Stegostoma tigrinum: one gene and its partners. The protein of the gene in region 2 binds, or shares a complex with, the protein of the main gene of each other region. Links are inferred from orthologs where the notes say so. Each region holds a gene or a part of one and is shown on either strand. Other genes may lie near its edges. The genes, in order: itgb8, itgav and itgb6.

What was found.
Region 1: the proteins of itgav (region 2) and itgb8 are in contact, whole or in part, in a cryo-EM structure (PDB 8TCF), measured with the Homo sapiens proteins. The link is inferred for Stegostoma tigrinum from reciprocal best matches to the Homo sapiens genes ITGAV and ITGB8. Residues at the interface, in NP_002201.2 of Homo sapiens: Tyr48, Phe51, Trp123, Leu141, His143, Gln150, Glu151, Arg152, Pro154, Phe184, Gln186, Phe189, Pro204, Trp209, Asp249, Tyr251, Tyr254, Arg275, Arg278, Thr279, Gln301, Met302, Ala303, Tyr305, Phe308, Pro328, Leu329, Met331, Ser335, Asp336; in NP_002205.1 of Homo sapiens: Ser197, Pro198, Ile202, His203, Pro204, Arg206, Ile250, Asp251, Thr252, Pro253, Thr287, Ser288, His289, Leu290, Ala291, Leu292, Asp293, Lys295, Leu296, Gly298, Val300, Pro302, Glu321, Ser324, Leu325, Gly326, Gln327, Glu330, His349, Trp350.
Region 3: the proteins of itgav (region 2) and itgb6 are in contact, whole or in part, in a crystal structure (PDB 9CZA), measured with the Homo sapiens proteins. The link is inferred for Stegostoma tigrinum from reciprocal best matches to the Homo sapiens genes ITGAV and ITGB6. Residues at the interface, in NP_002201.2 of Homo sapiens: Tyr48, Phe51, Lys72, Trp123, Leu141, His143, Gln150, Glu151, Arg152, Pro154, Asp178, Ala179, Phe184, Gln186, Phe189, Pro204, Tyr208, Trp209, Asp249, Tyr251, Tyr254, Pro274, Arg275, Arg278, Thr279, Met302, Ala303, Tyr305, Phe308, Pro328; in NP_000879.2 of Homo sapiens: Ser183, Pro184, Phe185, Lys187, Thr188, Thr189, Pro190, Ile236, Asp237, Thr238, Pro239, Asp273, Ser274, His275, Phe276, Gly277, Met278, Asp279, Lys281, Leu282, Ala283, Gly284, Val286, Pro288, Glu308, Thr311, Ile312, Gly313, Gln314, Ile316.

Annotation. Positions count from the first base shown.
Region 1 is NC_081355.1:73,667,370-73,675,240, reverse strand, and holds the start of itgb8 (integrin beta-8), read right to left. Parts: upstream 3,075-7,871; 5' UTR 2,591-3,074; coding exon 2,467-2,590; intron 2,236-2,466; coding exon 2,150-2,235; intron 1-2,149. UniProt on the Homo sapiens protein: Integrin alpha-V:beta-8 (ITGAV:ITGB8) is a receptor for fibronectin. It recognizes the sequence R-G-D in its ligands.
Region 2 is NC_081360.1:39,317,793-39,325,492, forward strand, and holds the start of itgav (integrin alpha-V), read right to left. Parts: upstream 3,096-7,700; 5' UTR 2,577-3,095; coding exon 2,407-2,576; intron 1,974-2,406; coding exon 1,843-1,973; intron 1-1,842.
Region 3 is NC_081360.1:59,583,739-59,591,149, reverse strand, and holds the start of itgb6 (integrin beta-6), read left to right. Parts: upstream 1-4,317; 5' UTR 4,318-4,383; intron 4,384-7,411. UniProt on the Homo sapiens protein: Integrin alpha-V:beta-6 (ITGAV:ITGB6) is a receptor for fibronectin and cytotactin. It recognizes the sequence R-G-D in its ligands. Internalization of integrin alpha-V/beta-6 via clathrin-mediated endocytosis promotes carcinoma cell invasion.

The DNA of each region.
Region 1 (7,871 bases), on a different chromosome or scaffold from region 2:
TGATAATTTATTGTGATATGTACATAAAATGTCTCCCTACTATTTTGTTTGCTTATTCACGAATCACTCTTCAATAACTTTAACGATTACCATCTTGAAGTGAAGCCAACAATATTTATACAGTACATTTAACACAGAGGTTGTAAAGTTTTTATAATACAAAAGGCCCTTTGGCTGGTTGTACCTCCACTGGTCATCAAACACTCATCTATTCTACTCCAAATTCCCAGCATCTGGCCTGTGGCTTTGTGTTTTCCAACTAACCTGTTCGGTGTTTTTGTGACACATCTCTGGAGTAACTGGGATTTGAACTCAGGCTCACTGGCTCAGAGATAGGAACACAATGCTACTGTGTTTCAAGTGTTCACCTAAATTGTCCCTAAATGTCTTCAGGGTTTATACAAGTGTTAAATATTAATACATCCCAAGACATTTCACAAGAGTGAAAACAAAATTTGACAACCAGCCATACAAGGAAATGCTGGGACATTTGACCCAAAGCATGATCAAAGAGGTAATGAGCATCTTTAAAGAGATGGAAAGGTTGGGCAGGGTAATTCCACAGTTTAACAATTAGGGAACTGAGGTTACAGCTGACAATCATGATGCAAAGGAAATTGAGGAAAGGCAGGAAGCCAAGAAAAGTGCAGAAGTCTCACAGGGTTATATTGCTGAAGGAAGTTAAAAAATAGGGAGCAGTATGGCCATGAAGGATTTGATAACAAGGACAACAAGGTGTAGCTGGGCTGACAGCCAGTGGTTTACAATAAATATTGTGTGACTGGTGAACATGACTTAGTGTATGTTAGGGCCAAGCAGCAGTGTAGTATGTGAGGCCAGGTTTTTAGAGGCTATAAGATGGGGCCAAGGCAGGAATGTATTGCAATAGTTAAGTCTTAGAGATAACAAAGGTATAGCTGATGAAAGTGTCAGCATGAAAGTGAAAGCACAGATGAACAAAGTGACAAATGTGAATGTTAGCAATCTTGAGGATGGAGAGGATGGAGGGAGAAACATGTTTAGATCAGAACCACATATCACTAAGGCTGTGACCTGTCTTGTTCTGCCTGGGATGGTGGCCTAGTAAGTGTTCAGTAGATAACAAAGTGTGGGGCTGGATGAACACAGCAGGCGAAGCAGCATCTTAGGAGTACAAAAGCTGATGTTTCAGGCCTATCAATGTTCAGTAGATTGGGTTTGTGGAAGTGACCAAAGATGAGGCTTTACTCTTCTTGCTATCCAAATGGAAGAACTATAACCTCTGAACACTGGAATCAGACAAGTTGTATTACAAAGCAGAGTAAATGCTGAGACCAACAGGGCTAATAGTGAGGTGAAATGTGTGTCATCAGTGTAGACAAGGTAAAGCTAATGAATTCGCTATGAAGGAATACAGGTCGCCCTATAATAGGAAAGATGTGGATGCTTTGGAGAGGGTTCAGAGGAGGTTGACCAGGATGCTGCCTGGACTGGAGGGCTTATCTTATGAAGAGAGGTTGACTGAGCTCGGTCTCTTTTCATTGGAGAAAAGGAGGAGGAGAGGGGACCTAATTGAGGTATACAAGATAATGAGAGGCATAGATAGAGTTGATAGCCAGAGACTATTTCCCAGGGCAGAAATGGCTAGCACGAGGGGTCATAGTTTTAAGCTGGTTGGAGGAAAGTATAGAGGGGATGTCAGAGGCAGGTTCTTTACGCAGAGAGTTGTGAGAGCATGGAATGCGTTGCCAGCAGCAGTTGTGGAAGCAAGGTTATTGGGGACATTTAAGAGACTGCTGGACATGTATATGGTCACAGAAATTTGACGGTGCATACATGAGGATCAATGGTCGGCACATCATCGTGGGCTGAAGGGCCTGTTCTGTGCTGTACTGTTCTATGTTCTATGTTCTAATAGCCATTTAATATTGGCCCTCAAATATGGCAGATGTGTTGTCCTCAACAAAAAATATTTCCATTTAAAGCACACACCTTATTTATTCATGAATTAATTACATCATAGTCATAAACCCTTTGGTTTTGAATCTGATTATTTTTATTATTTGGGCCATTATTTGTGTACCCTTAAGATGGAATGATTCCCCATCAGGACTATAACATGCATTGCACAAATCATGCATCAGGAACAAGACATCAACAATCAAATCACCTTTTGAAAACACCATCCACATTCAGGACCCAGGAGGAGGCATTCGCTACAACGGTTCGTTTTTTCAGCAGTGCATTTGTTCCTGGCTGGAATATTAGAAAATGTAAGCAATTAAAACGTTGGGATTCGATTCCACTTTGGGCGCCAACAATCAATCACAACCTTACGTGTTTTGATAGCTGCACGATTGAATAGAGTGTGCATCCATTCAATCTGGACGAGTAGCAGCCCTTCTGAACCACGAATCCTTTTGTTTTTGAAAAAAAAGTGTGTAAAACTGCAAGAAATTACAAACGCCACGTCAAGCAGACACTCACCACCTGTCTTGCTGGCTGCAACTGCGATGGTCAAAATGTGAACGACGCTTAAGAAGACCTTGGCCGGGAAGTGCCTGGGTTTTAGGAGTGAGCCGGTTGCGAGAATGAAGACGCGCAGCTTCATGGCGTGAGGAAGCGCACGGGCGAAGCGATTGAGAGGGGCTTCGGGCTGCGGAGAGTCGCGCACTGACCGCAGGATGAAGCATCCCAGAGCACCAGGAGCTCCCAGCACAAGCTGCCCAGGGACGGAGCTCTACTTCTCCTTCTCCTCTTCCTCCTCCTCCTCCTTATCCTTATCCTTATTCTCCTCCTCCTCCTCTCTCTCTCTCTGTCTATTGTGCACTGAGCTTTGGAAATCCCTTTATTCACCCACTCATTCACCCAGAAGCCTATCGTAAGTCGAGGGACGAAAGAAACTACTCCCCCAGCAGTTTAAACAACTCTCTTTAGTCCCTCCTAGGAGTTTCTCTGTCGGAGAACACGGAGAGAGGAAAGCTTTTTTTCTCAATAGACAGATAAGTGAATTGGGGGGGAAACAAACTGTAAAAGTTTAATAGCAGATTCAGACACCAACTCTGGCTACGTCTGAAGCCGCAGCTTCTGCAAACACGTTTTCACTCGACTTTTCAGATTGTCTGAACCTCAATTCACTGTTGCCACAGAAACGCGGAGCAGAGACCGTGCTCGACAAGGCAGTTTCCTTAAAGGTGCAAAACTCTCCTCACTCCTCAGTCAATAACATCAAATACCATGACGGTCTGTTCCATATTAGCCGCCAAATGTAGCCTGTTCAAAACAGCATCTCGAATAAGTGTTCCTTAAAATTGTTGAGAAAAAGAAATAATAATTTACCTTTAAGCACAACCATTTCTTCCAGTGTGGAGTGCCGAAAGCCAAATGTTTTATCAGCAGACTAAAGTTTTGACCTTTTTAAAAAAAAAGAAACAAATCAAAATACTATGGATACTGGAAATCTAAAATAGAAAATACTGGAGAAACTCAGCAGATCTGACTGCATCTGTGGAGAGAGAAACAGACTTGGGGTACCACTGTTCTTCGGAACTGAACTCAAACTGAGAAACTGAGTCCTGAGGAAGTTTTTGGACTCCAAACTTAATTCCGTTTCTCTCTCTCTACAGACGATGCCAAAACAGCTGAGTTTCTCCAGTATTTCCTGCTTTTATTCACTGATCTTTTAGGTAGGAAAAACAAACAAAAAGACTTATCAAATGATATGTTTCTTTGCAGTGAGTCACTGAGACTGGTTCCCAAATTAATGTGTCCAGTATTATTTTTGGAAAATAAATGCCTCAAGAAATCATTAACATCACTCGGCCCATCAAGCCAATCCACGATTATGGCCCCTTTTCCTACAAATCTGTAGTTTATCTGGAATCACCATGATCATCAAACAAACCCATTATTACTGCCGTGAACCAAAAAAGATGGAGACAAGATCCCACAAGAAAACAATTATCAGCGTGTTTCTAAGCAAGTGAAATATCAAACTGAGATAATGGGAACTGCAGATGCTGGAGAATTCCAAGATAATAGAATGTGAGGCTGGATGAACACAGCAGGCCAAGCAGCATCTCAGGAGCACAACCGCCATGAAGCTGCGCGTCTTCATTCTCGCAACCGGCTCACTCCTAAAACCCAGGCACTTCCCGGCCAAGGTCTTCTTAAGCGTCGTTCACATTTTGACCATCGCAGTTGCAGCCAGCAAGACAGGTGGTGAGTGTCTGCTTGACGTGGCGTTTGTAATTTCTTGCAGTTTTACACACTTTTTTTTCAAAAACAAAAGGATTCGTGGTTCAGAAGGGCTGCTACTCGTCCAGATTGAATGGATGCACACTCTATTCAATCGTGCAGCTATCAAAACACGTAAGGTTGTGATTGATTGTTGGCGCCCAAAGTGGAATCGAATCCCAACGTTTTAATTGCTTACATTTTCTAATATTCCAGCCAGGAACAAATGCACTGCTGAAAAAACGAACCGTTGTAGCGAATGCCTCCTCCTGGGTCCTGAATGTGGATGGTGTTTTCAAAAGGTGATTTGATTGTTGATGTCTTGTTCCTGATGCATGATTTGTGCAATGCATGTTATAGTCCTGATGGGGAATCATTCCATCTTAAGGGTACACAAATAATGGCCCAAATAATAAAAATAATCAGATTCAAAACCAAAGGGTTTATGACTATGATGTAATTAATTCATGAATAAATAAGGTGTGTGCTTTAAATGGAAATATTTTTTGTTGAGGACAACACATCTGCCACATTTGAGGGCCAATATTAAATGGCTATTAGAACATAGAACATAGAACAGTACAGCACAGAACAGGCCCTTCAGCCCACGATGATGTGCCGACCATTGATCCTCATGTATGCACCCTCAAATTTCTGTGACCATATGCATGTCGGTGCTCCTGAGATGCTGCTTGGCCTGCTGTGTTCATCCAGCCTCACATTCTATTATCTTGAAATATCAAACTGAATCCAGTCCTGGGAAGTGAAGAGAGGGAAATGGAGTGCATTGCTGCAGGAAAGGCATTTAGGTAATTGTGATTCTAATATAGTAAGGTTTGGAGTAGGAGAAAGGAGATTCACATGTTACGGAGTCTAATTGCAGGAGGTTTAATTTCAAGTGTTAAAGAAATGGATCTGGCCCAGTTGTATTATAATTGTAGGTTGGTAGGTGAAAAGGGTATAGCAGAAAAGTGATCTTACTGGACTTGGGGTCAAGAACTTAGAACATTACAGCGCAGTACAGGCCCTTTGGCCCTCAATGTTGCGCCGACCTGTGAAACCAATCTGAAGCCCATCTAACCTACACTATTCCATTATCATCCATATGTTTATCCAATGACTGTTTAAATGCCCTTAAAGTTGGTGAGTCTACTGCTGTTGCAAACAGGGCATTCCACCCCCTTACTACTTACTCAGTAAAGAGCCCACCTCTGACATCTGTCCTATATCTGCCACCCTCCAGTTTAAAGCTATGTCCCTTCGTGCTAGCCATCACCATCCGAGGAAAAAGGCTCTCACTGTCCACGCTATCTAATCCTCTAACCTTGTATGTCTCTATTCAGTCACCTCTTAACCTTCTTCTCTCTAACAAAAACAGCCTCAAGTCCCTCAGCCTTTCCTCATAAGACCTTCCCTCCATACCAAGCAACATCCTGGTAAATCTCCTCTGCACCCTTTCCAATGCTTCCACATCCTTCCTATAATGCAGCGACCAGTACTCCAAGTGTGGCCATGCCAGAGTTTTGTACAGCTGCAACATGACCTCATGGCTCCGAAACTCAATCCCTCTACCAATAAAACCTAACACACTGTATGCCTTCTTAACAACCCTATCAACCTGGGTGGCAACTTTCAGGGATCTATGCACATGGACACCGAGATCTCTCTGCTCATTCACACTACCAAGAATCTTACCATTAGCCCAGTACTCTGCATTCTTGTTACTCCTTCCAAAGTGAATCACCTCACACTTTTCTGCATTAAACTCCCTTTGCCACCTCTCAGCCCAGCTCTGCAGCTTATCTAGGTCCCTCCGTAACCTGCAACATCCTTGGCACACTATCCACAACTCCACCGAATTTAGTGCCATCCACAAATTTACTAACCCATCCTTCTACGCCCTCATCCAGGTCATTTATAAAAATGACAACGAGCAGTGGCCCCAAAACAGATCCTTACAGTACACTACTTGTAACTGAACTCCAGGATGAATATTTCCCAAAAACCACCACCCTCTGTCTTCTTACAGCTAGCCAATTTCTGATCCAAACTGCTAAATCACCCTCAATCCCATGCCTCCATATTTTCTGCAATAGCCTACCATGGGGAACCTTATCAAACGCTTTACTGAAGTCCATATACAACACATCAACTGCTTTAATCTCATCCACCTGTTTGGTCAGCTTCTCAAAGAACTCAATGAGGTTTTTGAGGCATGACCTACCCTTCACAAAATCGTGTTGACTATCCCTAATCAAATTATTCTTTTCTAGATGATTATAAATCCTACCTCTTATAATCCTATCCAACACTTTACCCACAACAAAAGTAAGGCTCACTGGTCATTAATTAACAGAGTTGTCTACTCGCCTTCTTGAATAAGGGACAACATTTGCTATCCTCCAGTCTTCTAGCACTGTTCCTGTAGACAATGGTGACATAAAGATCAAAGCCAAAGGCTCTGCAATCTCCTCCTGAACTTCCCAGAGAATCCTAGGATAATTGGCATCTGGCCCAGGGAACTTATCTATTTTCACACTTTCCAGAATTGCTAACACGTCCTCCTTAAGAACCTCAATCCCATCTAGTCTAATAGCCTGAATTTCAGTATTCTCCTCGACAACATTGTCTTTTTCCTCTATGAATACTGATGTAAAATATTCATTTAGTGCCTCTCCTAATGCTTCGGAATCCACGTACAACTTCCCACTAGTGTCCTTGACTGACCCTAATCTTACTCTAGTCATTCTTCTATTCCTGACATACCTATAGAAAGCTTTAGGGTTTTCCTTGATCCTACCTGCTAAAGACTTCTCATGTCCCCTCCTGGCTGTTCTTAGCTCTCTCTTTAGATCCTTCCTGGCTAACCTGCAACTCTCAAGCGCCCTAACTGAGCCTTCACACCTCATCTTTACATAAGCCTCCTTCTTCCTCTTGACAAGAGATTCAACTTCTTTAGTAAACCACAGATCCCTCGCTCAACTACTTCCTCCCTGCCTGACAGGTACATACATATCAAGGACACGCAGTAACTGTCCCTTGAATAAGCTCCACATTTCAATTGTGCCCAGCCCCTGCAATTTCCTTCCCCATCCTGTGCATCCTGAATCTTGCCTAATTGCATGATAATTGCTTCTCCCCCAGCTACGGCTGGTGATTTAAAATAAACAAATCAGTATGGAACTACAAGTTAGCCCAGGTAACAGAAAAATGAAATTACCAGATTGTTGTAAAACAGCATTTGGTTCAATAATGTCCATTAGAGAAGGAAATATACTGTCCTTACCAAGTCTGGCCTACTTACAACTTAAGCTTCCAGTGTATGACTCTTAAACGTGCTCTGAAATGGCCAAGAAAGCCATTCAGTTGTCATTAAAAAAAACAGCTCACCACCACTTTTTTAAGGGAAATTGGAATAGACAATAAATGTTTACCTTGCCAGTGGCGACCACATCCCATTGATGAATTTAAAACAAAGCAACATATAGGCAATGGGAACTTTCAGTGTTTCAGTGCAGAGAACATATATTTCACAAGGAGAAACAACAGGGCATCCAAAGCTACGAGTTCTATGGATGGCTAAAAATACAAAGTATTGCCAAAAAAAGAGAAATTTTCTTGAAGCTTTTTATCTTGTGCTCATCAGACTGACAATC
Region 2 (7,700 bases):
AAGTCAAAGATAGATGGAGACAGAACCCAGAAGGAGAGAAAGGCAGTTTGGCAAACAAAAGGATGGACAATTGTATGTTAGGGAAGGAGAGAAGCTGATAATGTGGACCATAAGTTGTTGAAAATAGACTGACTGTGCTGAAAGCAGCCCAAATGACGACAAGGTCTGGGTATGGGACTGGGTAAAGGTCTTGGAAGATGATGTTCAGGATGTAAACTTATTGAACACAATATTGAGTTGGGAAGGTTGCAGGGTCTCCAAGTGAAAAATGAGATGATGTTCTTCCAGCCTGTGCTGAGCCTCATTGCAGCTGGCCCACAACAGAAATGTTGGTCAGGAAACACAGCGTTGAAGTGGCAGGCAACTGGAAGCTGGAGGTTATTTTTTGTGAACACAGCGTAGATGTTCTGCAAAGTGGTCACTCAGTCTGCATTTTGTTTCCCAGAGGAAGCCACATTATGAGCAGCATATACAGTAGATTAGATTGAGTGAAGTGAAGGTAAATTGCTACTTCACCTGTTCTTGGTTTAATGTATTTTAAAATATTTATTATTGCTTTTTAATTACTCCAGAATCCACTTTTTTTGCCATTCTCTAGTTTAATAAATGCAGGTGACCATATCACGCACTTCTCGATCTGAATTGGGGGCGGGGGAGGTAAATGAAGACAGTAGCATGAGATAAATAGTTTTGACTTTCACTTGTCCCAACTAACCTCTCAGGCAAAGAATAAACAAAACCAAATGATGTTTAGCATGGATGGTAATGGGGTTGGGGGCGGGGTGCCGGCAGGAACTTTCAGCACTTACTGGTCTCATCCCCAATGTTTTAAAATACATTAAACTATTTTAAAAGAATAAGCAAATATATATTGCATTTATCCCAAACAATTTACTATTTATTAAATATTACTTCGGAAAGTTGTCACTGTTGTAGTATTTGGAATACAGTAGCCAATTTGCAGACAATGATGTTCCAGAAACAGCAATGAAACAAACAACATAACAAAGTGTGGAGCTGGATGAACACAGCAGGCCAAGCAGCATCTCAAGAGCGCAAAAGCTGACGTTTCGGGCCTAGACCCTTCATCAGAGGGCCTGCTGTGTTCATCCTGCTTCACACTTTGTTATCATGGATTCTCCAGCATCTGCAGTTCCCATTATTTCTGAAACGAACAACATAGGTGTTTCACAGGTGGTGTCTGGGGGACAAATACTGTCATGGAATGCTATATATTTACCTAACAAGGTAAAACAGTTTAAGGTCACACCAGAAAAAAGAGATGTCCATCAGTGCTGCATTCCATCATTACATCATTGAATTGTTAGACTTGACTGTGTATTCAAATCTCTAGACTTGATCACAAACTCTCAGCTTTCTGACTGAAGGCAAGATTAGGATTGCTAATTGAATAGGGCAAATGTGCTAAACATTCAGCATTGGACATCTCATACATTATCATCCCTTTAATAACAGCTGCTGATGTAGTTAATCTCAGACATTCTAAGTGACCTTAAAGGCTAAATTTCAGAAACTGCAATATAGTGTGCTTCTGTTAGGGAGGCAGACTGACATTTTAGAAAAAACTGAATACTTAAAAAAAGAGTGGTCATATTAACCATGTTCATTTGATCAGACCACTCTCAAAGTCATAAAGGTTGATAGAACAACTGATTAGTAATTCGAGAAAGCATCTCATACTGATTTTTGTAAAATATTTGTTTGAAATCCCCTATAATTATGCATAATATATAATTACTTATATCAGCAGTCATCCTCTCAACTATAGTATTGCATGATTATTTAAAACGTTAAATCGAACCATGAACTTGTATACAGTACCTGTCTTGTCAAATTCAAACTGTTCGCAGTTGCTGGCCCCATTATTCCAGGGGCACTTGTATACTGCCCCACCTTCGACTATGTTTGGTTGAGAAGTATTTGCCTTTGGGGCTCCAACTAAAATACTTATCCTGGTACGAATATAAGAAAAAGAAAAAGTGAGGGGTTAAAGCCTTTGTTCAATTTACTGTATTGTCACCTATCTGCAAGTACGTTTTTCTCGTGCAATGTAACGGATCGATCAAACACAGATACGATAACTCAAGTCATACACAGGTCTGTGACAATCTTTGTCCAGGTACCGTTGTTGTTCAGATTTGACTGAAAGGGCTACACGAATATTTAACAATCACAATACGGTTCTTGCTTTCATTTACTAATACGTTGAGTAGATGTTACAATCGAAGCAGTTCACCAGACCAGCATTCGTTGCACTTAAGTCATAACAGCATTCCTAGACTTAACTTTATGTTTGTTGTTGGAAGAACAAACTTGGTTCACAGTTGAAAAGTGTCCAGGCTTTAAAGCCCCCTCCCCCACCCCGCATTGTTTTAAATCTCTTACTCTGTCGGGGCAGGTGTGAAAAAATCCACAGCAAATCCGAAGTAACTGCCCGGAGGTCCGGAATAAACAGACGGGTTGCTGGCGTCCAGATTAAACCCGTAAGAACAGGAGAGAGTGAACAGAAACACTGCCAGCGCCGGGCGTCCAATGCCTGTAGCCGCGGATGCCATTCTTGTTCGGCTTGTTGTGCTCGCCTTCCAAACTCTTAACAGTTCAGTCCGAGATCCGGGGCGAATGTGAGTGAGCTTCAGAGGACTCGCTGTTTTGTTAGCGGGGTGGATAGCGACTGTACCGACGGGCCGCGGCTTGCCCAGTCAGACAATCCGCCCCCACCCCCCACTTCGCTGCTCTCGCTGTTGGTGGGAGGGCAGCTGCTCCGCTCCCAGACTGTGACTCAAAACTCGGATTTGGAACACAGGCCTGGCACTACCTATGGCAACAGAACCCTCTGGTCTGGCGCTGCCAATGGCAACAGAACAACCTCGCGCACCGCTCGTGTCAGGAAGTGAAGTGAGGAGGATGTCGGATGTGAATGAGGCGGTCTTTCCCCGACCCCGGGTATGAAGGCAGCTTTCCACCGACGTCTTTCTGCAAGAGGAGCTCCACCCAACCAGGCGTCCCGCAACTTAATGCCTGTCATACTTCCACCTCCCCCCCTCCCCGGTCTCCTGCACTGCACATTCCAGCAGACAACTGGGACGGAACAACCCAACTGCTCCGTACAGGGAGATCAGATCGGGTTGATTTCTGTGGGGGTGGGACAAGGTGGGAAACGAGGTGTCGCTGCGCGCTTTTGTGACACACGTTTGGTTCAATTACATAGACTTCTTCCCAGGGAATAAAGAAAAGGGCGAGAGAAACTCAGCAGGTCTGCCAGCATCTGTAGAGAGAGTTATGTTTCGAGTCCAGTAGGTCCCTTCGGATTTCACATCTCTGGCATCAGCAGTAGTTTGTTTTCGCTCTGAAATAAAAAAAAGTCAAAGTAACCGATCTGCAGAATATGACCTCTTAATGGCTCCTGGAGCCAACACTGGTAAAAACTGTGCGAACTGTTTAAAATTGGACATATAACCCACTGCGAAGCCTCCTACAATCACCAATCTAACCGTGATGTTTAGTTTTAGGATACATCGCAAATCAGACGAAATGCATCTCGCGTGTTGAAGTTGAGTTGCTGAATAATAGCAGGGATAATCAGGATATTGACATGCAATGTAAGACTAATAGGAAAGACGTTTTCTGTTTCTTTTTTCTGATTGGCAAAATGTAACTAGTGGAATGCCACAGGGTTCGGTGCTCAGACCCGACGTATTTACAATCTAAATTAATAATTTGGATGCAAGGTTAGAATGTATTGTAGCCAAATTTGCAGACGAAACTAAAATAGATCGGAAAGTACATCGCAATGAAGATTTTTTTTAAAAAAATCATTACAAGTGGGTAGGGATGGGTTAGGTGAATGGGCCAACATTTGGCAGATGGAGTTTAACATGGATAAGTGTTAGGTTCAACATTTTGGTCAGAAGAATAGAAAGACAGCTTATTATCTAAATGGAGAGAAACTTCATCAAGACTGCTCTTAAACCATAAGGTCAGGAATTGGGTTGACTGCAGCAATTCCATCATGTCCACCTCCATTCACAACTTTTCTGTAACCGAAACAAAAGTAGAAAGTGCTGGAGAAACTCTCAACAGCTGGCAGCATCTGTGAAGAGAAACATAGTAAAAGACTGCCCAATTATCTTAGAAATCAACCTAATAAACCTCCCACATTACACACCACCTGCCAGATTTTTTTTTTTGCCCACTCACTTGACCTAACTGTACACCTTTGCAATCTCCTTGGGGTGAATTTTAAGAAATAACACTAATTTCAGGGTATTGCATCAAGGATTTCTCTTCATGAGTTATAGTAAGTTTTCTGATGAATTCTTCCCAATTCACCCCATCATCTATGCATCAAAAAGCCATGACCTTCCAAATTTCCACCACTGGCACCATATTTAAAGCCCAGCTGTGCAGCAGATAAATCACAGTACATGCATTGGGTTGGAAATGAAAAGGAACACTTAGGGATAGATGTGGCATGGTGACACTTCATTGGAAATAGAAGCTGACTGATCGTTGTAGCTATATTACAAGAAACAAGCTGCAGGTTGATTACCTGCCCTTAGTTCCATTCCATGTTAGAACTGTGTCTCAGAGAGAGCTACTCTTTCCCAAGCACACCCTACCTCACTCCCTAATGTTTCCAAGCACACGAACCTCTGTATGAGTCTATTCATCTGTTCCACCATGGTCCTGTAGAAATAATGGGCTACATTAAATTTACACTAAGCATCTGTCAGGGGATTGTACGAATGAGTAATCAGCTGTGGGTTTAGAAGATAGCCCAGGCCTCCCAGTAACCATCCTTGTCAAGCGTCTGGCCTTTGAAGCAAAGCAGAAACATGAGAGTTCTCAAGGATACAGGCATCATTCCAGCTCCCATTGTATCTGGCACAGACGTCTTAGATGTGGTACTGATAATCACAGATCACTGTACATTGATGGAATGGAACCCTTTTCTTTGGATGCAGTCAGCCATGTTATGATATGGTACTCTGAACACGACATATGTACAGTCTATATGTGTGGAAGCTAACTGTAATTACCAAAGCCTACTACACAAGGCACAGCAATGACCTTGCCATAGGGAAATGAGGTAAAGTGGTGTGTTTTCTCACAAATTACATTGCTCGCAGTTACATTTGTGGGTTGAGCATTGAGAGGAATGGAATTAGCCAATTGCATAAACATTTAGTGCAGTTGTCACCTTGGTAGTCACTGGTTTAGAACAACCACTCATCAGTTCATACGTCCTGATCCAGATGATATCTGGAATATTGAGAAACATCCCCAGTGTGTGGCAGCAATGCACCTCATACATCAGGAGGGAATGGCATATGGGATGATAGACTTTGATAGACCTCCTGCAATTCCCTGAGGAGAACTTCAACTGCAACTTTTCCAGGTGGAGGCTGTTCAGCAACCAAAGTTTGCTGCTTGTGTATTTGTGTTTATTGCGTTTGTGTTTCATTAGTTTCTCTCCAGCTTTGTTGCACCACAGCCACAGTGATGATAAATCCAGTGTGGTGGGATCTATCGGTCACATTTCCATGGAACTTATGTAGGGAGTATCAGAAACAGGAGAGGTCCTTATTCTATGAGTGATCAGTTTATGCATCACACACTTGACACAAAACAGAAGTTGCTGGAAAAGTTCAGCAGGTCTGGCAGCATCTGTGAAGAGAAATCAGAGCTAATGTTTCTGGTCTGGGGACCCATACTCAGAAGGGAGGAAAGGCCTGTTCAGAAGAAGGGTCACTGGACCCAAAATGGTAACTCTGATTTTTCTTCAGAGATACTGCCAGACCCTGCTGAGCTTTTCCAGCAACTTCTGTTTTTGTTCCTGCAAATGACTTCCTCAGCTTCCTCACCACAGCAGTAGTCCTTGATAACCCACTTTGATTTTCAGCAAATAAACCCTTCAATCCAACAAACATCCTAATCCCACAACATCCAACTGACTTGGAAGGGCAAACCCAATTGATAAGTATTTGAAAACCGTACTGATCGCCCTGAAGTTCCCTGACTGACCTACTACTAATCCTCTGAATGGTTGCACTGCAGGACTGACCATGACCCATTCTCACCTGGTAGTGAAACAGATCCCCTAGCTGCCCAAACAACTGACAGTCATGTCCAAGCACCAAGAATGAGAAAGATGCTGCCTGCCCTTGACTCTCTGTGCTAGAACTCCTGAATGATGACAGCCTCTTGGGACTTGACTGAGAGCTGCCCCTACTTTGACATGGTCATTTAGATGAAGCACATGCCTGAGGTACATCCTGTCCAATGCATGAGATGGGTCTTTTGTCCCTGTGTTCAAAGCAGCCTGGCTGCAACATTACAATCAAAGATGTTGATGCAATGCTGCATTAAAGTTGCTAACTCTATTCTGAGTCGGAGATGTTCAATGATGACGTCGTGAGGCTGGTACATGTGCAATGTCAACATTGTGGATGAGGGCGGGGTTGCAGATGATCACTGCCCATTCCACATGCACTGAGGTGTTGGACACTCCAGGCCAAGATGGAGTTCTAGTGAAGCAAGTAGTAAGTTGAAGCTGCCAGGTACTCACTTCAATTTTTATGTCATAGAAACATGGAAGATAGGAGCAGGAGGAGGCCATTCATCTATTCAAGCCTGCTCCACCATTCACCACGATTATGGCTGATCATCCAACTCAATAGCCTAATCCTGCATTTTCCCCATAACCTTTGATCCCATTTGCCCCAAGTGCTATATCTAGCTGTCTCTTGAATACATTCAATGTTTTGGCATCAACTGCTTCCTGTGGAAATGAATTCCTCAGGATCACCACTCATTGGGTGAAGAAATGTCTCCTCATCTCCGTCCTAAATGTTTTATCCCAAATCCTCAGACTGTGACCCCGGTTCCGAACACACCCACCATCGAGAACATCCTCCCTACATCTACCTTGTCTAGTCCTATTAGACTATTATAAGTCTCTATGAGACCCCTCCCCATTAGTCTGAAGTCCAGCAAATACCATCAAACCTGGTCAATCAATCTCTCCTCATACATCAGTCCCACCAGACCCGGAATCAGCCTGGTAAACCTTTGCCGCACTCCCTCAGGAGCTAATTTCTCTCTGACATTTGGGAAAATGGCAAATTGAACATAAATGTTATGTGAGCTGGAAATAATGAAATATAAATAAATGCAAATAGACCATTTCCCGCTCACAAGTGAAATTCTTGTCTTGCTTTCAAAACCTGGGATGGAGAATAAGACTTTATTTCTCAACATTGAGAATCTAATTTTCCTGAATTTGTCAGGTATTTCAAGCAGACTTGCCAATCTGCCTTGTCTAAGGGCAAGAACATTGCAACCCATTGTATCATCCTCAAACTTGCTTTGGTACCTATATTTGTATCATCAGTGGATTTGGATTGTTTCTGGTGGATTCCTTTGTTTACATTATCAATTTAGATCATATATAATGAAGGCTCCAGCAATGATCCTCAGGGAATTCCAATTACAGTTTGTCAATCCGACATGATGAATGAATCCAAACTTTTTAGTTCCTGTTAGCCAATCCTCCACCATACTAATAAATCACTATGAGTAAGTACAAAGAACAAAGAAAATTACAGCACAGGAACAGGCCCTTCGGCCCTCCAAGCCTGCGCTGATCAAGATCCTCTGTCTAACCTGTCATCTATTTT
Region 3 (7,411 bases), about 20 Mb from region 2:
TTGTCACTCCCTTAGCTAAGTAAGTTCTTCCTATACAGTTACAACACTGACATCTACCTGATGATGTGGAAAATTGCCCAGATATGTCCTGTACATAAAAATCCAACCTGGCAAATTACCATTCTATCAGTCTCCTCTCAATCATCAGTAAAGTGATCAAAGGTGTCATCAACAGTGCTATCAAGCAGCATCTGCTCAGCAATAACTTGCTCAATTATGCTCTGTTTGGGTTTCACCAGGGCCACTCAGTTCTTGACCTTATTACAGCCTTGGCTCAAATGTGAACAAACAGCTGAATTCCAGACATGGGGTGAGAGTAAGAGATAACAAGGTGCAGAGCTGGATGAACACAGCAAGCCAAGCAGCTTCAGAGGAGCAGGAAAGCTTAACCTTTCAGGTCGGGGCCCTTCTTCAGAAATGGGGTGAGAGTGACAGCTTTTGACATGAAGGCCACACTCAAGGGAGTGTAACATCAAGAATCAGTGAGAATTGCAGGAAAGCTCTCATACTTGACAATGAAAAACAATTGTGGTTGTTAGAGGCAAGACATGTGTCCTCCACGACCTCTCTACAGGAGTACTTCAAGGGTAGTTTCCTCGGCTTAACTATCTTCAGTTGCTTCATCAACAGCCTTCCCTCCATTATCAGGTCAGAAATGGGTTTGCTGATGATTGCACAATGTTGAGCATCTTTTGTGATTCCTCAGATATGGAAGCTGCCTGTGTCCATATGCAGCAAGATCTGGACCAAATTTAGGCTTGGGCTGATAAGTGGTTATGAATATTCACAACACGCAGGTGGTAAGCAATCACATCTCCACCAGGAGAGAATATAAATAATGCTCCTTGACATTCAATGGCTATGTCACCTTTGAATCCTCCAGTCTGAATATCCTGGGGCTGCTGAACTGGATCAGATATACATGTGCTGTAAATGTTATGGGGCCATGCATTTTTCATTTTGCATTAAAATGAAATGGAAATTGGATGCTACTGTAAAGTTGAAATACCAGAAAAAGTTTTAAAACTTGGATAGGGCAAGTGGTGCTCATTTTTGGGCTTTGGCCATTGATGTCCCTGACCCAACTGAGGTGGTTGGGTGGTAGTATGTGCTTTCCTTTTCCATGTTTGACCTCATACCATGAGTTTTTATTGGGGATCTGAAGTGAATGTTGAAGACTCCCAGGGCAACTTCCTCCCTACTTTGTACTATTGTGCAGCAACTTTTGCTGGAATGTCTTTGTCTAGAATGGAATATCTTTGAGGCTTCTTTGCATTTTGATGTAATTGAGTGGCTTAATTAGCCATTTCTGAAGATATTTAAGAGACAACCATGTTTCTGTGGGTCTGGAGTCACCTGGAGACCAACCAGGTAAGGTTGCATGTATCCTTTTTGAAAAGACATCAGTGAACCAGCTTGTTTTGTATGACATTTGGCAATGATGTCATGGTCATCATTAGATTTTTATTCTTGAATTCTATATCTACCATCTGATAAGATGGCATTCAATATCTGGGACCACACTAAGATCATTACCTGGATCTCTGGATTACTAGCCCAGTGACAATATGCCTTCTATTCTCCCAGTTTGTGTGAAATATGTCAATCCCATCAAACACAACAATTGAAAACCTCTCCATCCACATGAGATTCTTTTGAACCATGGGGCAAGATTGCCACATTCCATGGCCAATTACAAGAGTACATTCTGGCGATTAACTATTTCATCAAATTGTCTTTTGAATTTCAAATTAAATATACCATTGGTACATTGGTTATTGACACATTGAATGCCATAATTGCCAAATTCAATAATTGTCAAAAAAATGGTGTCTAACAATGGTCCACAGTACAGTAGTGCATCCTGACAATTCATGTGCAGGAAATCGGGTGGTCACCATATAAGGTCCTTTCTTTATTACCCCCACAGAACACACTGCTCATACTGTAAAGTCTCCAACAACTAAATGTAAAGCAACTTGCTGAAATTTTGTGTGTGAATATATGTCTTACTTCTCAAGCCAGTGGTTTACTCCCACTGGCAGCTCTTATGTTTTGGAGCTGATACAGACAGTTCTTCCTTCGCACACTCTCAATGCCTAGCCATGTGCACCAGGTGTAGTTGGAAAGAGGGAGAAAGTGGTGCAACAACATGATTAACAAGTGTGCAAACAGCTATACAGGTGGAACCAAGAGAAAACATATGAATCTGAGATTTTATACAAGCACACAGATTGATGTAAGATAGCCTTTGTTTTATCTGCTCTTGCTCGTATTATTTGATAAAGAACAATGGTCAAGTCCTTTGAATAACTAAATGCCATGTACATGTCATGTTGGATAACTGTTCAGAAGCTGAAGAAATCATACTAGTCAACAACTGCACATCTAAAACAAGTGATAGTTGTACGTCTTATAAATGGAAGTCAGTTATCTTAGTTGGCTGGATGGCTGGTTTGTGATGCAAACTAATACCAACAGTGTAGGTTCAATTCCTGCCACCAACCAATGTTACCATGAACGACTCTCCTTCTCAACCTCTCCCCGGGGCATGGTGACCCTCAGGTTGAACCACCACCAGTTTTGCCTCTCTCTATTTAAAGATTATGAGATAATGCAACTTTATTTTTCAGTCTTGTAAATTAACTTTAACTGCCTGATTCAACAGAACCCATGATTTATGGTCTATGCTATGTTGAATAGCACATATGGCAAACCACAAACAGCATCAGAGAGAACCTTGCAGGTGATGCTGTTCAGATGTATCTGCTGCCCATCTCCTTTGAAGGTGGGATAACAAGGCGTAGAGCTGAATAAACACAGCAGGCCAAGTAGCATCAGAGGAGCAGGAAGGCTGATGTTTTGGGCCTAGACCTTCCTAGTATCCTTTGAAGGTGGGACAGATTGAGGGTTTGGAAGGTGTTAAAGAGGAACTTTGGTAAGTTGTTGCAACATATCTTATAGATGATACACTTTGCTGGCCTTGTGTATTGCTGGGCAGTAATTGGGCGTCAATCAAATGGATGCTTTGTCCTAGATGATGTTGAGCCTTTTGAGTGCTACTGGAGCTACATTTACCCAGGAAAACTCAGTCTATTAAATTACAGTCCTGACTTGAGCATTGTAGATGATGGGCATTGTTTAAGACATCAGGAGATGAATTTCTTGCTGCAGAAATCCAAACCCTTACCTGCTCTTGTAGCCACTTTATTTCCAATGCTGTTCAGTTTCTGGGTTATGGTGAATTCCAGGGGAAAATGGGATATTTCAGAGGTGGTTATGTCCCTAAAGGTGTTGTAACAACAGACAGCAATATTCAATAATATTGTTCAAACTATAGATATATTGAGAATTCAATTAGGTAGCATTAAGTTTATTGTTCTGCATCCATCAAGCATACCTTCATCAGTTTTTATTGTTCATTCATGGCATGTGGGTATCATTGGCTAGGCCAGCATTTAATGCCTGACCCTGACTGATCTGTAAGCCAACCAAGTGGGATAGGATCAAAAGACCCCAAGACATAGGAGTGAAATTAAGCCATTCAGCCCACAGAGTTTGCTCCACCATTCAATGAGATAACAGCTGACCTGAAAATCCTCAAATCCACTCTCCTGACTTTCCCCCATAAACCTTGATTCATTTACTGATTAAAAATCTGCCTATTTCAGCCTTGAAACCTCTACAGCAACCTCTACAGTCCTCTGCAATAAAGAATACCACAGATTTACAACCGTCTGACAGAACAAATTCCTATTTATTTCATCAATGGGTGACCCCTTATTCTGAGATTATATCTTTTGGTCCTAGATGCTCCCACAATGGGAAATAGGTTTTCTGTATCTACCCTGTCAAATCCAAAAATCTTGTATTTTTCAATATAGTACTGCTGAAACTTTAATGCTGCAACCGCATAAAGTGATTTATTTGTGAAGTAACAAATCTGTAATCGGAGCTCCTCAGCTGGGACATTTACAAAATTGGTACCACTGTGTGATGCCTCCTACAATGTATCAAGGATTCAGAACCGTGAAGACCGTGATAGGTTATCTAACCTGTGGGAGCTTTCTCACTCTTTCAACAAATAGGTATTTTTCACATATTATCCTTGCCATTTCCAAGTCTTACAAAATTTGAGTTTTGTTAGCAATGTTGGAGCAAAGTTGGCACGGTTAGTTGTAGATCAAAAATAAACTAGTTTGAAATGTAACACCTACATTTTCACAAAGGAGGAGTAAAAGGCTACCTGATTTGCCAACTTGTGATGTCATGATGGAAACATTTTTTAAGAGCATGCTCAGTCTATCATTTCCACCCACAGAACCCATCATGGCCAGTCAGGTTGTTCTGGTGTGTGGAGGATCCCTATGAAGAACCTGCAAGGTACGTAATGCGTCTTTTTGAGTCAGAGATTGTAGAAAACCTGGTGGTGATGTGCAGGTTGTTGTCTTAATTTCCTGTTTGGAAATTCCCCAACAATGGCAAACTATGTTTTGTTTTAAGTGTGTACATGGTAAGTTTGTATCAGATCTGATTGCCATACTTTCTCAAGGGCTAAGTAACATTGTATACATAATAGATCAAACGAGCTGAGAAGTGGGGTGTGTGTGTTTACCTAAGTGCTGACACATCATGTTATCCTCCCTGAAATGTAATAATGTGGAACAAGGAAAATGTTTCAAGCACTCTTGAAAAAACATCTCTTTCAAAACAGCTATGTACAATTTACGGTTACAGATTCCCTCCAAATTATGTTCTTTCAGTTGAGAGAATGAATAAGCACAATACGCAGAGACAAGTGTAAACTCAAAGTAACGTAGTGAAAAAAACCTATTTTCTATTATAATTTATATTATTCAGCTCTCATGACTTGATTTTAGTAGTTCCAACTGAAAAGCAGCCAAGCTATTCAAATAAGTATTTGAAATCTGTGCTGCTATTTATCACATTTTTTGAAGCTGCTTCAGATATTTTGAAAGTGCTCTTACTATAAGCTCATTTGCCAAAGAGTTCATTGACTGATTATGTAGGTTTTAGACATGTATGTTCAGTGTAACTGCTACTGAGATTTTCTGGGGCCTTCAAAAGGCATTTGACAAGGTGCCAGTCTAAAGACTTCGAAAAGGTTAAAGGTACACAGAGTTTATGGCAGGATGACTATTCAAATAGAAAAGTGCCAGGGACAGCAGGGAATGTCAAAAAAGGAATAAAAGAAAGTGTCTCATAAGTCAAAAGTTTCTTTTTTCTAGTTCTTGGGATGTAAGGAAAGCTGTTGAAGCACTATTTATTGCTCACTGCTGGTTGCTCTGAGAGCATTAAGGTTTAAGCAAAATGTGTGATCAGGGTTCACGTATAGAAGAATGAAGTTTATTCTTCAAAGTGTATTAATAAATCAATGGATTTTCATTACAAAATAGCAGTACCATTCATGATAATGTTTATCTTACCTACTGAAATGATCACATTTACTGAAATTTAATCATTTTTAACAAAATAGAAATTTTTAAGGTTCTGTTATCAAGCCTTCATGTGGCACATGTACCTAACAGTGCTCTGTGGCAATTACCTTATTGACTTTGTTGCCAATATGATTCTGTATTTTCTCCCTGTCACTGATAAGTAACATACCTCATATTGGCTGACATTCAACAGACATTATGTCAATTCAAATCAATATTGCTGTCTTTGGAACAGATTGAAATTGGTGGGTATGATGTTGTGGGTTTCAGAGATATGGCTGCATGGAGATCAGGACTGGGAATTAGATATCCGAGGATGTGCATCCTATTGAAAGTACACACAGATAGGTAGAAAGGGCAGGGTTGGCTTGTTTGTAAGAAATGAAATTAAATCAATGCCAAGAAATAATATAGAGTCAGAGGTGTAGAATCTGTGTGGGTAGATTCAGGGAACTACAAAGGCAAAAAGACCCTGATGAGAGTTGTGTACAGGCCTCCCACACATTAGTCAGGATATGGGGCAGGAAGTAAATCAGGAAATAGAAAACATATTTCAGAAAAATACTGTTATGGGGAACTTCAATATGCAAGTGGACTGGCAAAATTAGAAAAGGAATTCGCGGGATGTCTATGAGATGGTTTTTTTGGAGCAGCTTATGGTGAAGCCCTCTAGGGAACAGCCAATTCTGGATTTAATGATGTGTAACGAGGCAAACTTGATTAGGGAGCTCAAGGTTAAGGAATGGCTAGGGGGCAGTGACTATAATATGATAGAATTCATTCTGCAGTTTGAGAGGGAGAAGTTGGAATCAGATGTAACAGTATTACAATCGAGTAAGATAACTTTGAAGACATGAGGAGCTGGCCAGTGTTGATTGGAAGGGGAACCTAGCAGGGAAGATGATGGACTAGCAACGGCAGGGGCTTCTGGGGGTAATTCGGAAGGCACAGCAAAAATTCATGACAAGGATGAAGAAACATAACAAAGAGGGTGAATGAGATAACCATGGCTGATGAGGGAAGTTGGGGCAACACAAAACCAAAGAAAAAGCAGGCAAAACAGTAAAGAATAGTGGGATGCCAGAGAATTGGGAAGCTTTAAAAGGCAGCAGAGAACAACTGAAAAAGCATAGAGGGAGAGAAGATGAAATATCAGGAGAACCTAGCTAGAAATATAAAAGAAGATTGCAAGAGTTTTTATAATGAACAAGAACAAATAATAAAGAACAAAGAACAGTATAGCACAGAAACATGCCCTTCAGCCCTCCAAGCCTGCACTGACACATTTTGCTCTTCCATACTAAAACTGTCTTCACTTACAGGATCCATATCCCTTTATTTTCTTCCTATTCATGTATTCATCCAGGTGCTCCTTGAATGCTACTATTGTGTCTGCTTCCACCTCAAAAGAGCCGCAGTGCAGTCCAGGCATTCACCACCCTTTGTGTGAAAAACTTGCTTTGCACATCCGTTTTAAAATCCCCCTGAATATCCACACAAAGTATTCATTTAGAATCTCACCCACCTCTTCTGGCTCCACACATGGATTCCCTCCTTTGTCCTCGGGTGAGCCAACCCTTTCCCTGGCTATCCTCTTGTTCTTTATATATGTATAAAAGCCTTGGGATTCTCCTTAATCCTGCTTGCTAATGACTTTTCATGACCCCTTTTAGCTCTTCTAATTTCTTGTTTAAGTTCTTTCTAACTTTCTTTAGATACTTCAAGGGCTTTGTCAGTTCCCATCCTCCTAGACCTTATCTATGCTCCCTTTTCCTTTTTTGAGCAAAGTCATATCATACCTGGTCATCCAAGGTTCACGTAACTTGCCATACCTATCCTTCATTCTTGCATTAATGCACTGATCTTGAATTCTTACAAAGTGCCATTTGAAATACTTCACATATCCAGGTTTGTACAGGTCCCACCTCTCCCACAACCAATACCAATGCTAG